2 linked regions of the Zea mays genome follow. The protein of the gene in region 1 interacts with the protein of each later gene in a pairwise test. Links are inferred from orthologs where the notes say so. Each region holds a gene or a part of one and is shown on either strand. Other genes may lie near its edges.

Evidence for each region.
Region 2: the proteins of wax synthase (region 1) and peptidyl-prolyl cis-trans isomerase-like interact in binary tests that used the Arabidopsis thaliana proteins (3 or more experiments, as listed by UniProt). The link is inferred for Zea mays from reciprocal best matches to the Arabidopsis thaliana genes ASAT1 and ROC4.

Annotation. Positions count from the first base shown.
Region 1 is NC_050105.1:128,302,763-128,308,097, forward strand, and holds wax synthase, read right to left. Parts: upstream 3,010-5,335; 5' UTR 2,941-3,009; coding exon 1,915-2,940; 3' UTR 1,785-1,914; downstream 1-1,784. Other genes in the region: ABC transporter B family member 15, read left to right, coding at 1-1,086, 1,165-1,552. UniProt on the Arabidopsis thaliana protein: Involved in the esterification of cycloartenol. Not implicated in the formation of sterol esters in flowers or during seed maturation. Has a substrate preference toward saturated fatty acyl donors (16:0 > 18:0 > 16:1 > 18:1).
Region 2 is NC_050103.1:1,411,426-1,418,011, forward strand, and holds peptidyl-prolyl cis-trans isomerase-like, read right to left. Parts: upstream 4,375-6,586; 5' UTR 4,310-4,374; coding exon 4,199-4,309; intron 4,122-4,198; coding exon 3,977-4,121; intron 3,880-3,976; coding exon 3,791-3,879; intron 1,788-3,790; coding exon 1,733-1,787; intron 1,487-1,732; coding exon 1,401-1,486; intron 912-1,400; coding exon 756-911; 3' UTR 751-755; intron 643-750; 3' UTR 456-642; downstream 1-455. UniProt on the Arabidopsis thaliana protein: PPIases accelerate the folding of proteins. It catalyzes the cis-trans isomerization of proline imidic peptide bonds in oligopeptides. Required for the light-induced increase of thiol accumulation.

The DNA.
Region 1 (5,335 bases):
CGAGGACGAGAACTCAAGCGCCGCGGTGTGCGCGCGGCTGGCCACGCAGGCCACAAAGGTCCGGTCCCTCGTCGGTGACCGCATGTGCCTCCTGGTGCAGGCGTCCGCCAACGCGGCGCTAGGTTTCTCCCTTGCGCTCGCCCTGTCGTGGCGGCTCGCGGTGGTCATGATGGCTATGCATCCACTGGTAATCGCGAGCTTCTACTTCAAGAAGGTGCTGATGACCGCCCTGTCCAAGAAGGCCAAGAAGGCGCAGGTGCAAGGCAGCCAGCTCGCCAGCGAGGCTGTCGTGAACCACCGGACCATCACCGCGTTCTCGTCGCAGCGTCGGATGCTCCGCCTGTACGAGGCCGCGCATGAGGCGCCCAGGAAGGACAACAGGGTGCAGTCGTGGTACTCCGGCTTCTGCCTGTCCCTGTGCCAGTTCAGCAACACGGGCAGCATGGCGCTCGCGCTGTGGTACGGAGGCAGGCTTATGGCCAAGGGCCTCATCACTCCCACGCACCTGTTCCAGGTGTTCTTCATGCTCATGACCATGGGGCGGGTGATCGCAGACGCCGGCAGCTTGACGTCCGACCTAGCCAAGGGCGGTGACGCCGTGCGGTCCATCCTGGACACGCTGGACCGTGAACCGATGATCCAGGATGACGGCGACGAAGCCGACGGACCAAGGAAGAAGAGGAAGCAACAGCAGCAGCAGAAGGAAATGAAAGGCACAATCGAGTTCAGGGACGTGCACTTCAGCTACCCGACGCGGCCGGGGACGACCGTGCTCGATGGGTTCAGCCTCGAGATAGGCGCGGGGAAGACTGTGGCGCTCGTCGGACCGAGCGGATCCGGCAAGTCCACGGTGATCGGGCTGATCGAGCGCTTCTACGACGTGCAGAAAGGCTCGGTGCTGATCGATGGCAGGGACATCAGGAGCTGCAGCCTGGCGCACCTCCGGTCGCACGTCGCGCTCGTCAGCCAGGAGCCGACGCTGTTCTCCGGCACGATCCGCGACAACATAGTGTACGGCGACGAGCACGCCACCGAGGACGAGGTGACTAGTGCCGCCAAGCTTGCCAACGCCCACGAGTTCATCAGGTACAGATTCTGCAGCTGGTTGGTGTGCGCACGCCTTTGTTGTACCTGAAAAACTTCTTCAATCCCGCCGTGCTACAGCGCGATGGAGGGCGGCTACGACGCGCGCGTCGGGGAGCGAGGGGCGCAGCTGTCCGGCGGGCAGAAGCAGCGGATCGCGCTGGCGCGTGCGATATTGAAGAACGCGCGGGTCCTGCTGCTGGACGAGGCGACGAGCGCGCTGGACACCGTGTCGGAGAGGCTAGTGCAGGACGCTATCGACAGGATGCTGCAGGGGCGGACGTGTGTGGTGGTGGCACACCGCCTCTCCACGGTGCAGAAGGTAGACATGATTGCGGTGGTGCGGGGCGGGAAGGTGGCGGAGAGAGGGCGGCACGGGGAGCTCATCGCCGTCGGACCTGGAGGGATATACTACAACCTGATGAAGTTGCAACTGGGTAGATCGCCGTGCCTTAGTCCTCCTAAGTAATTAAACAGACTTACTTTTTGGATGATGTGCTGATGTTTCCAGTTCTTGCATAACAAACTACTAGGAAGACTGGTCTGTCAACATGTCTTGGTTGATTATTTAGACATATAATAAATCGTTTTCAAATAAAAAGGTCAGCAACTATAAAAGTTGTACATTATCTAAAAAAACTACAAAGTTGCTGAACACTTCAACTACAATATATTTTTCATGCATCTAGATTTTCCTCATCTAGAATATTTCTGAAATTATCACCATCCCAAAACAAAAGTGCAAACAGATGCCACGGCGACAAAGCACACGGCACGCGCAGGCGCAGGCGCAGGCGCAGCGCACGCCTGTTGCGGACGGCGGACCACAATTTACGACCAGCTTGACAAGACTGACCAGGCGGAGTCGACCGCCCAAGCTGCGGTGTCCCGCAGAAAAGCGACCATGGCCTCGCACTCCGCGATGGCCTGCTTGTCCGCGCCGGGCCTTGTGAGCGGAGGAAAGAAGAGCCAGAAGGCCGTCACGCCCACGAACGCCAGTGTCAGCGGCGTGGCCATGGCGCGCGGCGGCCGCGGCCACCCCTCGTGCGCGGCCCACCACCCCTCCGCCACCGCGCACGCCCCGTGCAGCGTGAAGAACGCGGCCGCCTCCCCCGTCGGCCGCAGCAGCGTGAGGTAGGAGAACATGGCCTCGTGCATGAGGCCCGAGACGACGAACGCAGCTAGCACACCCGCGGCGGCGCCGAGGCGCGCGCGCACGGGGCGGAACACGCACTGGCGGAGCAGCGCCGGAACGGAGAGGTTCCACCTCCGGCCCCAGAAGTCCCGCAGCGAGGACGAGAGGTAGGGCCGGTCGAACTGGGGCTCCAGTTCCAGGCCCATCAGCGCGCGCGACGCCGCCGCGGCCGCCGCCAGGACGAGCTCGAGCGCGAGGTACACGTGCACGGAGTAGAGCGTGAGCAGGACGTAACCGTTCATCCGCTCCTCGTACCGGTACAGCGACACGATGGCCGCGAGCAGCGCGGCCATGGAGGCGGACTCCACGAGCCCCAGGCCCGGCCTCGAGGCGGAGCTCTTGGGATCCCGTAGTGTGACGGGGAAGGTGGCGATGGCGGTGAAGGAGGGCAGCGGGAGGCTCGGATCGAGCGGGCGCTGGCCGCATGCGAGGAGCAGGAGTTTGAATTCGGCGGCCCAGGCGAGGAAGAAGCCGGAGATGCCGCGCGGGTGGAGCGCACGGAAGGCGAGCGGGAGGAAAGGCAAGACGGCGAGCACCGGGAGGAACGCTGCAAGGCGGGACAGGACCGGGCGGAGTCGCCGCGCGGCGAAGCGGGCGTAGCCCATGCACGCGATCACCGCGGCCGCGACGGTGGCGAGGCTGCGCAGGTCGCCGGTGGCCATCTCCGCTGTAGGTCAAATCTCACCAGTTTTTCGGGTCCGATCCAGGAGCCCGAACCAGATTGAGAATTTGGGGAGGGTTGTCCCCCTGGCATTATAAATGGTCGCTAAACATGTTAAGCTTCATGTGCGGGAATCTTTACCTAGTAGATTAAAATCAACTTGCTAACACTGATTTATAGTCTAACTAGTATAATATCTGTGTGTTACACAATAATAAATATTACACTTGGCGTATGAGTTAAAAAAAGCTTGATCCTTTTATAATTTGTTTGGTCGCTCATTCACCTTTATCTAGTTGAGTATGAGAAAACGTTGTGGTACATGTGACTTTTTGTTGTGTTGGACTTAGCTGGCACAGCGTGTTTGTATCAGCGATCCGTGTGGTTATGGGGCTGCCCAGAGATCTTCCCGCTGGAGATTCGGTGTACATCAGATCGTATAATCAATAAGTTATTTTATATATTAAATATGTTTGTGTGTTTTACTACAGGCTTGTTAACACTACTAAAATTGTGTCATATGACAAAACCAAAACTATTTTCTGTGTATGGGGGAGTAGGTATAAATACACGTCACTTTCCTGTTTAGGATGGAGTGGAACAGGAAAGTGGACAATACTATAACAACATTTCACTGCGACGAGGAGGATAAATTATTAGTCTTTCTTAGACTTTTCTATAATGCATCATTTGGATCATTGAAATTGAATTTCATTCTAATAATAATAATTTAGGTATATATATTAAAAAAATTCAGGGTTTATGTAAAATATATCAGTATAATATTATTAGTAAGATGTCGGAGATATTTATGTGCTATATTTTTACTATAAAGGAGTGAGTCTAAGATCGTCTTTTAAGTTACATAGTAGAAACAAATTCTAGTAATACATAAAATCATTTCCCATCCCCACTCCATTAATTTAAGATAACCTTATATAGAACTTTGGGAAGTGATGAAATGTCAAATTCCAAGCTAAATAGGTTACCTTATTAAATGAATTTTAATTTCTCTGAAATGAAGGGATCTAAACGCTCCGTAAATAATAATTTGGGAAGTTATTTGAATAAAAATCGGTCTCTATATCAATTCGCTCTTCAAAGACTTTTCTATATCTTGTGCATACTGCAGAGAGCCAATTCCGCTCTTCATGGCTAATGAAAAATTCAGTGAAAGTGTTCTATTTCTATTAATAAGGATATAAAGATGGAGGTTATTTTTATTAAAGAAGTCATTGGAGGGCTTTTTTCACTCAAGCCTCTATTTCTGTTAATAAGGGTATAAAGAGTTTCTTGAAAGTGCTCTTTAGATCTCCAAACATTGTCATTCTTTATGTCGGGGACCATAATTAGGGGTACCCTCAAGGCGCCTAATTCTCAGCTGGTAACCCCCATCAGCATAAAGCTGCAAAGGCCTGATGGGTACGATTAAGTCAGGGATCAGTCCACACGAGTGACTCGATCACGCTTCACCCGAGCCTAGCCTCGGCCAAGGGCAGCCGACCTCGAGAGACTTCCGTCTCGCCCGAGGCCCCCTTTTTATGGCGGACACATCACCGGCTCGCCCGAGGCCTTGGCTTCGCTCAGAAGCAACCTTGACTAAATCGCCGCACCGACTGACCAAATTGCAGGGGCATTTAACGCAAAGGTGGCCTGACACCTTCATCCTGACACGCGCCCCCGGCAGAGCCGAAGTGACCGCCGTCACTCCACCGCTCCACTGGCCAGTCTGACAGAAGGACAACGCCGCCTGCGCCACTCCGACTGCAGTGCCACTCGACAGAGTGAGTCTGACAGGCAGTCAGGCCTTGCCAAAGGCGCCACGGCGAACTCCGCTCCGCCCGACCCCAGGGCTCGGACTCGGGCTAAGACCCGGAAGACGGCGAACTCCGCTCCGCCCGACCCCAGGGCTCGGACTCGGGCTAAGACCCGGAAGACGGCGAACTCCGCTCCGCCCGACCCCAGGGCTCGGACTCGGGCAAAGACCCGGAAGACGGCGAACTCCGCTCCGCCCGACCCCAGGGCTCGGACTCGGGCTAAGACCCGGAAGACGGCGAACTCCGCTCCGCCCGACCCCAGGGCTCGGACTCGGGCTAAGACCCGGAAGACGGCGAACTCCGCTCCGCCCGACCCCAGGGCTCGGACTCGGGCTAAGACCCGGAAGACGACGAAACTCCGCTTCGCCCGACCCCAGGGCTCGGACTCGGGCTAAGACCCGAAAGACGACGAAGCTCCGCCTCGCCCGACCCCAGGGCTCGGACTCCGCCCTGGCCTCGGCCGAACGACTTCCGCTTCGCCCGACCCCAGGGCTCGGACTCCGCCCTGGCCTCGGCCGAACGACTTCCGCCTCGCCCGACCCCAGGGCTCGGACTCCGCCCTGGCCTCGGCCGAACGAC
Region 2 (6,586 bases), on another chromosome or scaffold:
GCTGCTTCCCTTGCCCCGCGGGCCGCGCCTTCGTGCTATCTGCGGCACTGTTCTCACACTGCTGCCCGTCACAGGGGACGATCCCAAGGACGTGAAGGCGCGGCTCAAGGTGTGGGCGCAGGCGGTGGCGCTCGCGTCCGCATCTCGTCTCGGTTCCTGAGGTGAGGCACCAACCAAGCAACCGATCAAGACCGATGCAAACACACCATGCATGCGTACACGTCCACAGGACAGATTATTTAGCAGTCGTCTCCACACCATGTTGTTAATGTTTGGGCAGCGGGTGGGGTGTGCAAGGCGACCCAACTGCTTTACAGGTGTTGTCATTCATGTGTTGAATCTACAGAAAAAAAAGAAAGAAAGCGAAACATCTGATGGTCCAGCGTTTTTGTCCTACCGACAGCTGGTGCTAACTTGTCTGAAATGAAGGAAGGCTGACAACATTTATTTTTTTTGAGATGTCCCTTGCCAATTCGTTGCTATTAACTGGTAATGTGTCCACATCTGAGTAATTAAACTTCCGTCACGGCACGTACACATAACTCAACTGACCGAATGATGCTACCACAAATGGGCGTCGACGCTCTAACGTAAGAGAAGACTTCGCGGTACCTCAGGTTCAAACTCACCAAGAGCATTTCGCTGAAAATGAAAAAAAAAAAACAAACCAAACAAACCATCGGCACTTCTACTTCCACTTCCGTATGCTTTGCACGAATCAACAATTAAACCCAAAACTGAGCTACTGACCTCGCTCAGCTGTCCAGGGGGACCTCGCCACAGTTAACGATTCGGCAAGGCTGCTTGGGAGTATCGGACCTGCTGGTCTCTTGCGATTCAAGCTGCTTCACCACGTCCATCCCCTCTAATACGTGTCCAAACACGACGTGACGGTTGTCCAACCACGGTGTCTGAGAAGAATTCCATTATTGTCTCAGTGTGAGCCAAGTACCCACGATATAAAAGACCTCGATGGCCGGTTCTTGCTGAAGAAAACAAACATAACAAGTCCAAGGCTATGTTTTGATAAGGGATAGTTTATTCATGATATATTATCCTCAACAGATTTGGATGTATACATATGCTACCTTCCTTGAATCTTGTCTTGATCATACATAAACAACAACGACGACAAACTCAATCAATGTTATCGAGTTGAAAATGTCATGGTGCTCACTTATGACATGTAACAAATCGAAGTGTATTAATAGATTTTTGGTAGACAGAGTTCAAATAATTTTGTGAAATACATATGTTAAATTCATTGATCAGCATTATATTTGAATGTGAATCATTACTCAAAAGCTAGATTCTTAATGCAGCAAAAATTAAGATGTTCCAGCAGGCAAAATAGTGAGCAAAATGAATTCTATCATTGCTACAAATCAAGAATGCCTTACCTTCACAGTGCAAATGAAAAATTGACTTCCATTTGTGTTGGGGCCAGCATTTGCCATGCTTAGCACACCAGGGCCAACATGCTTCACTGCAACAAAGTAAGCCAAAGAACCTCTCAGTTTGAGAACTAGCGAAATGGCACCAGACACATCGACATTTTTGCAATTCAACAGAACTTCATTCAGAATCAGTTTCCTGTAAGCTCCTGTCTGCATTATTAACAAAAAAACTAGAGAAAGTTCACACAAAAATTCATCTTAATGAGAACAGAATTAATAGCACTACTTTCTGCAACAGTAGAAGGTAATAAAATAGAAGGCTAAGAATCACTTACGTGTAAAATTTTCATCATCAAAGCATTCACCATAAATACTTCTCCCACCAGTACCCTGTGGTCACCACTAATAACTTAGCACTAGAATAAGTGAAGACGACTTTTAGCTCCTGACAGAACTAGCTTCTCTGAATAAACATTATTGAACTTCACCAAACTTTATTTCACTTTCACAGGTAAATTCTTACACCTTTCACAATTTGGTTGTCAATTCTTTGAAAAGTATAATGTTACCCATATCTAATAAGTAGCCAGTGGCAGATTTTGCTAGTTTGCATAGTTCCATGGTGCAAACCTATGAATGTTTGGATACTCTCGTATTCACCTCAATCCATATGTATTGAGATGAATACGAGAGTATCCAAACAAGGTCTAAGGTGGAAGCCTACCTCACCCACCATCAGCATATTGATTTGGTTCCGTATTGATAAAGAGCAGAGATGTTCTGTTTTCATCATCATTATTTGTTTTGTAATTCTCAGTAACATGAACTCAATGCGCAACTTCGGCGCCCGACAATCAATTTTGTACTATGAGTTAAACCAATCTATATTTTCACCATAGTTATTAAGGCGGTAAGGCAACCGACCCTTTTTTTACCCTTCAGGCGGTAAAGTGTAAGGCGTGACGTCTTAATTATATAGTAATATAATGCTTTAATTATATAGTAATATAAAAAATTAGATCAAATATGATTTATATAACAATAATTCAAAATTAATAAGTAAACTAGCACAACTATAAGGTCTAGTAAGCCTGTTTCAGTCTAGTAGGAGAGAAAAATAGGAAAAAAAAGGAAAAAAAAGTCTACAATAAGTCGGCCCAGCTAGCCCAACCCAACAGCAACAGTTTTAGGTTAAAACAGCTCCCTCTCCTCCCGTGCAGTGCAGCCGCCGGCCGCTGCTTATTTCTCCCCTGCACCTCCATCTCTCTCCCTCCCCACAGCTTCATCTCTCTCCCTCCCCACAGGTCCCCCCTTCCTCTGACTTGCCGGCTTGGGCTGTAAACCCTCGCCGCTGCGCCCTGTGCGCTGCCGCAGCAGCCCCATGCACGCCGCCGTCACCACTGCGCCCTGCGCGCGCTGCCGCAGCGCCCTCTGTCCTCGCATTACTCCCGCGGCAAGGCGATAGGACGCCTTACGTGGCTATGCTCGCCTTACCGCTTTAGCGACGCCTTAATAACCATGATTTTCACAGTCATCATCGTTGCCGTATTATACGAAACTTGTGACTAAAAACTAAAGAAAATCTAAGCTTATGTAGTGAGACACAATCAATGGAGCAGTTTTGCAGACAGAGCCCAATGGATGTATCATTATTGACTATGATTAACGGTGGAAATAGAAGTGACAAATTGCATAAAGAGAGCTGCATTGTGCTAATGGTTTGTAAAATGGTCATCTACACATTGGAGAATAGATATTTAGTGATCCAATGCAGATAGCTGGATGCTAACTTCAAGGTGCGATTATAGTACAGAGTGATATCCTAATAGACATTGGATGAGAATATGAGATAATGCTCAATGTTCCACAAGCTTGCCCATAGAAACAATATGAATCTGATCCAAACAGGCTCAACAAATTCCATGGATTGTGGAGGGCTTGATGCACTGGAAATATAGGTTCTAGTTCTATATCTTAAACCCATATGCCAATAAACATGTGCCCCATATGATTGCCATTGACTGGTGATAGTCATCCTAAAATCCATAGTAGATCCCATAACTAATAAACTGATTTTTGAGCAAGGCATGAAACTTAACTATTAGGAGACTTGCAGCGAGTATGCAAATCAATAGGTGCAATATAACTTTATCTGGCCGAGCTTAATAGACTGGATGTCTTGGCAGCAAAAAAATCATAACTGATTTTGTCCTGCTTTCAGGTTTTCCATCCATGTTGGTGTTCATTCTATTGTTACTTGTGAGCAATGATTTACTATGTTGAATGATGAATAGGAACTTCAATTCTACTCACATCTTCTTCAGTTGTAGGAATATTTAACAAAATCTGCAGTGGCCATTCAGACCAATTGCGTACAGGTAAAAAATGCTTACATTGTTTTGCTGGAAGTCCCCGCCTTGAATCATAAAGTCCTTGATGATCCGGTGGAAGGAGCAGCCCTTGTAGCCGTACCCTTTCTCACCTGCCCCGCAACCAAAAGAGCAGCAATGCTCGGTAAATTCGACTCGTAAAGCTATTGTGACCAGCGCTGATTCAAATCCAATCCATAGCGTACGCACCAGTGCAGAGCGCACGGAAGTTGTCGACGGTCTTAGGTACGACCTCTCCGAAGAGCCCGATGACGATGCGGCCCGCAGGCTCCCCGCCGACCTCCACGTCGAAGAAGCACTTGCTCGTCACCTTGGCCTGCAGCTCCACGGCTCCCTGCAGCGAAACACCGGCAGTCTGTCACAACGCGCTTGGCCTCGGGGAGCGCCGTAGGTGCCCGTAGCCACAAATACCTCTGCCGCAGTGGCGCGGACGACGACAGCGCCACGGGCGTCGCGGTGGCCGCCGAGCCTCAACGTGGGGATAGCGCGGGCGGGACGGAGGGAGAGCGCGCCGCGTCGCATTTCCGTTGAGTAGCAGAGGTGGGTGCGGGTCGACGCCGGTGCCGGCGCGAGGACGGAGGGGGCAGACACAGCCGGCATGCACGCCATGGTTGGGTTTGGGTTTGGCTTGGCTTATCGGATTTTTTTTCGCTTAAATATATCGGAATGGAGGGAGAAATCAAGAGGGCGTAGTGGGCAAGGGCAGGCGAGCAGGGCGGCGCTCGAATGGCCGGGGAAGGGGCTGAGGCCAGGTCTCCGGAGGCAACAAGGATTGGCATGTTGGGGTAGCCTGCGGTGTGGCAGAGGGCCCTTAATTGTTGTTGGGCTATCGTTGGGCCTGGAGGAGTCAGAGCATGGCCGGCAGGCCGGCACTGATGTCCGCCGTCAAGGCAGCGTGTTGCATTTTTTTCTTTCCTTTCATCTGCATTTCCTTTTTGTTTTCTATAGGGTTTTACTATTGTTTTTATGTTTCTTTTATTTATTTTTCGTTTATATCACTTTTATTTTATTTATTTTTCGTTTATATCACTTTTATTTTATTTATTTTTTATCTCTCTTTTACTTTTATGTTCTCTGTATATGTTCATATATTTTTATTTTTCTCTAGTTATATATTATATTTTTTATTTTTAATACATGCTGTGTTTACATAGTATATGTGAGGTATACATATTCATAACGTTTGTTAGTCAGGGTATAGAGGCATCATTGCCATTAATGATGAACATCACCCGCATCGCCCTTGTCATCGCCTTTCCATCTCAACCGATCACACGTGTCGGAGAGGAAATCTCTCTGACCGGGTGGCGGATTGCACCCGCCCTAAATCCTAAAAAGAGGAGGGGCCTAAGCGTTTTGCTTGTTACGAGACTGGTGGATCAACACACGGGAGCACGCGGGGGTTTAGAGTAGTTCGGGCTGCTGGAGCGTAATACCCTACTCCACTGTGTGATGTATTGCTCGGGAGCTTGTATGAACTTGTGAGTGTCTGCCTAAGATTGGGTCTGTCTTGTAACGCCGCATGCCTCCCCTTTTGTAGCCGAAGGGGGGCATGCACAAAGGTATTGAGCCCCGACATGTGGGCCCAGGGACATAACGAATATAGCACTTGGAGCCACAAATGTGTGCTGCTGGGGCACTCTTCTTGGGCCCCGACATCCGAGATCTGCGTATCCTCGACGTGCAAGGGAAGCTTCTTATAGAAGGGGTAACGAGCACGGTGCGCCGCTCGGCACGGGCGTACTGTTCACCAACAGACTGGTCAGGCGATGTTGGGTGCTGGCGATGCAAGAGGAGCTCAACAACTTCACAAGGAATGAGGTATGGCATTTAGTTCCATGTCCTAACCAAAATGTTGTAGGAACCAAGTGGGTATTCCGCAACAAGCAAGATGAGCATGGTGTGGTGACAAGGAACAAAGCACGACTTGTGGCCAAGGGATATTCACAAGTTGAAGGTTTGGATTTTGGTGAAACCTATGCACCCGTAGCTAGGCTTGAGTCAATTTGTATATTACTTGCCTATGCTACTTACCATGGCTTAAGCTTTATCAAATGGACGTGAAGAGTGCCTTCCTCAATGGACCAATCAAGGAAGAGGTCTATGTTGAGCAACCTCCCGGCTTTGAAGATAGTGAGTACCCTAACCATGTTTACAAACTCTCTAAGGCGCTTTATGGGCTCAAGCAAGCCCCAAGAGCATGGTATGAATGCCTAAGAGATTTTCTTATCACTAATGGCTTCAAAGTTGGAAAGGCCGATCCTACTCTCTTTACTAAAACTATTGCAAAAGATTTGTTTGTATGCCAAATTTATGTTGATGATATTATATTTGGGTCTACTAACAAATCTATATGTGAAGAGTTTAGTAGGATCATGGTACAAAAATTCGAGATGTCTATGATGGAGAAATTGAAGTATTTTCTAGGATTTCAAGTCAAGCAACTCCAAGAAGGCACCTTCATCAGCCAAACAAAGTACATTCAAGACATACTCACCAAGTTTGGAATGAAGGATGCCAAGCCCATCAAGACATCCATGGGAACCAATGGGCATCTCGACCTCGACACGGGAGGTAAATCCGTAGATCAAAAGGTATACCGGTCGATGATAGGATCTTTACTCTATTTATGTGCATCTCGACCGGACATTATGCTTTCTGTATGCATGTGTGCAAGGTTCCAAGCCGATCCTATGGAAATTCACCTTAGGGCCGTGAAGAGAATCTTGAGATATTTAGTTCATACACCTAAGTTTGGTCTTTGGTACCCCTAGGGATCCTCGTTTGATTTATTAGGAT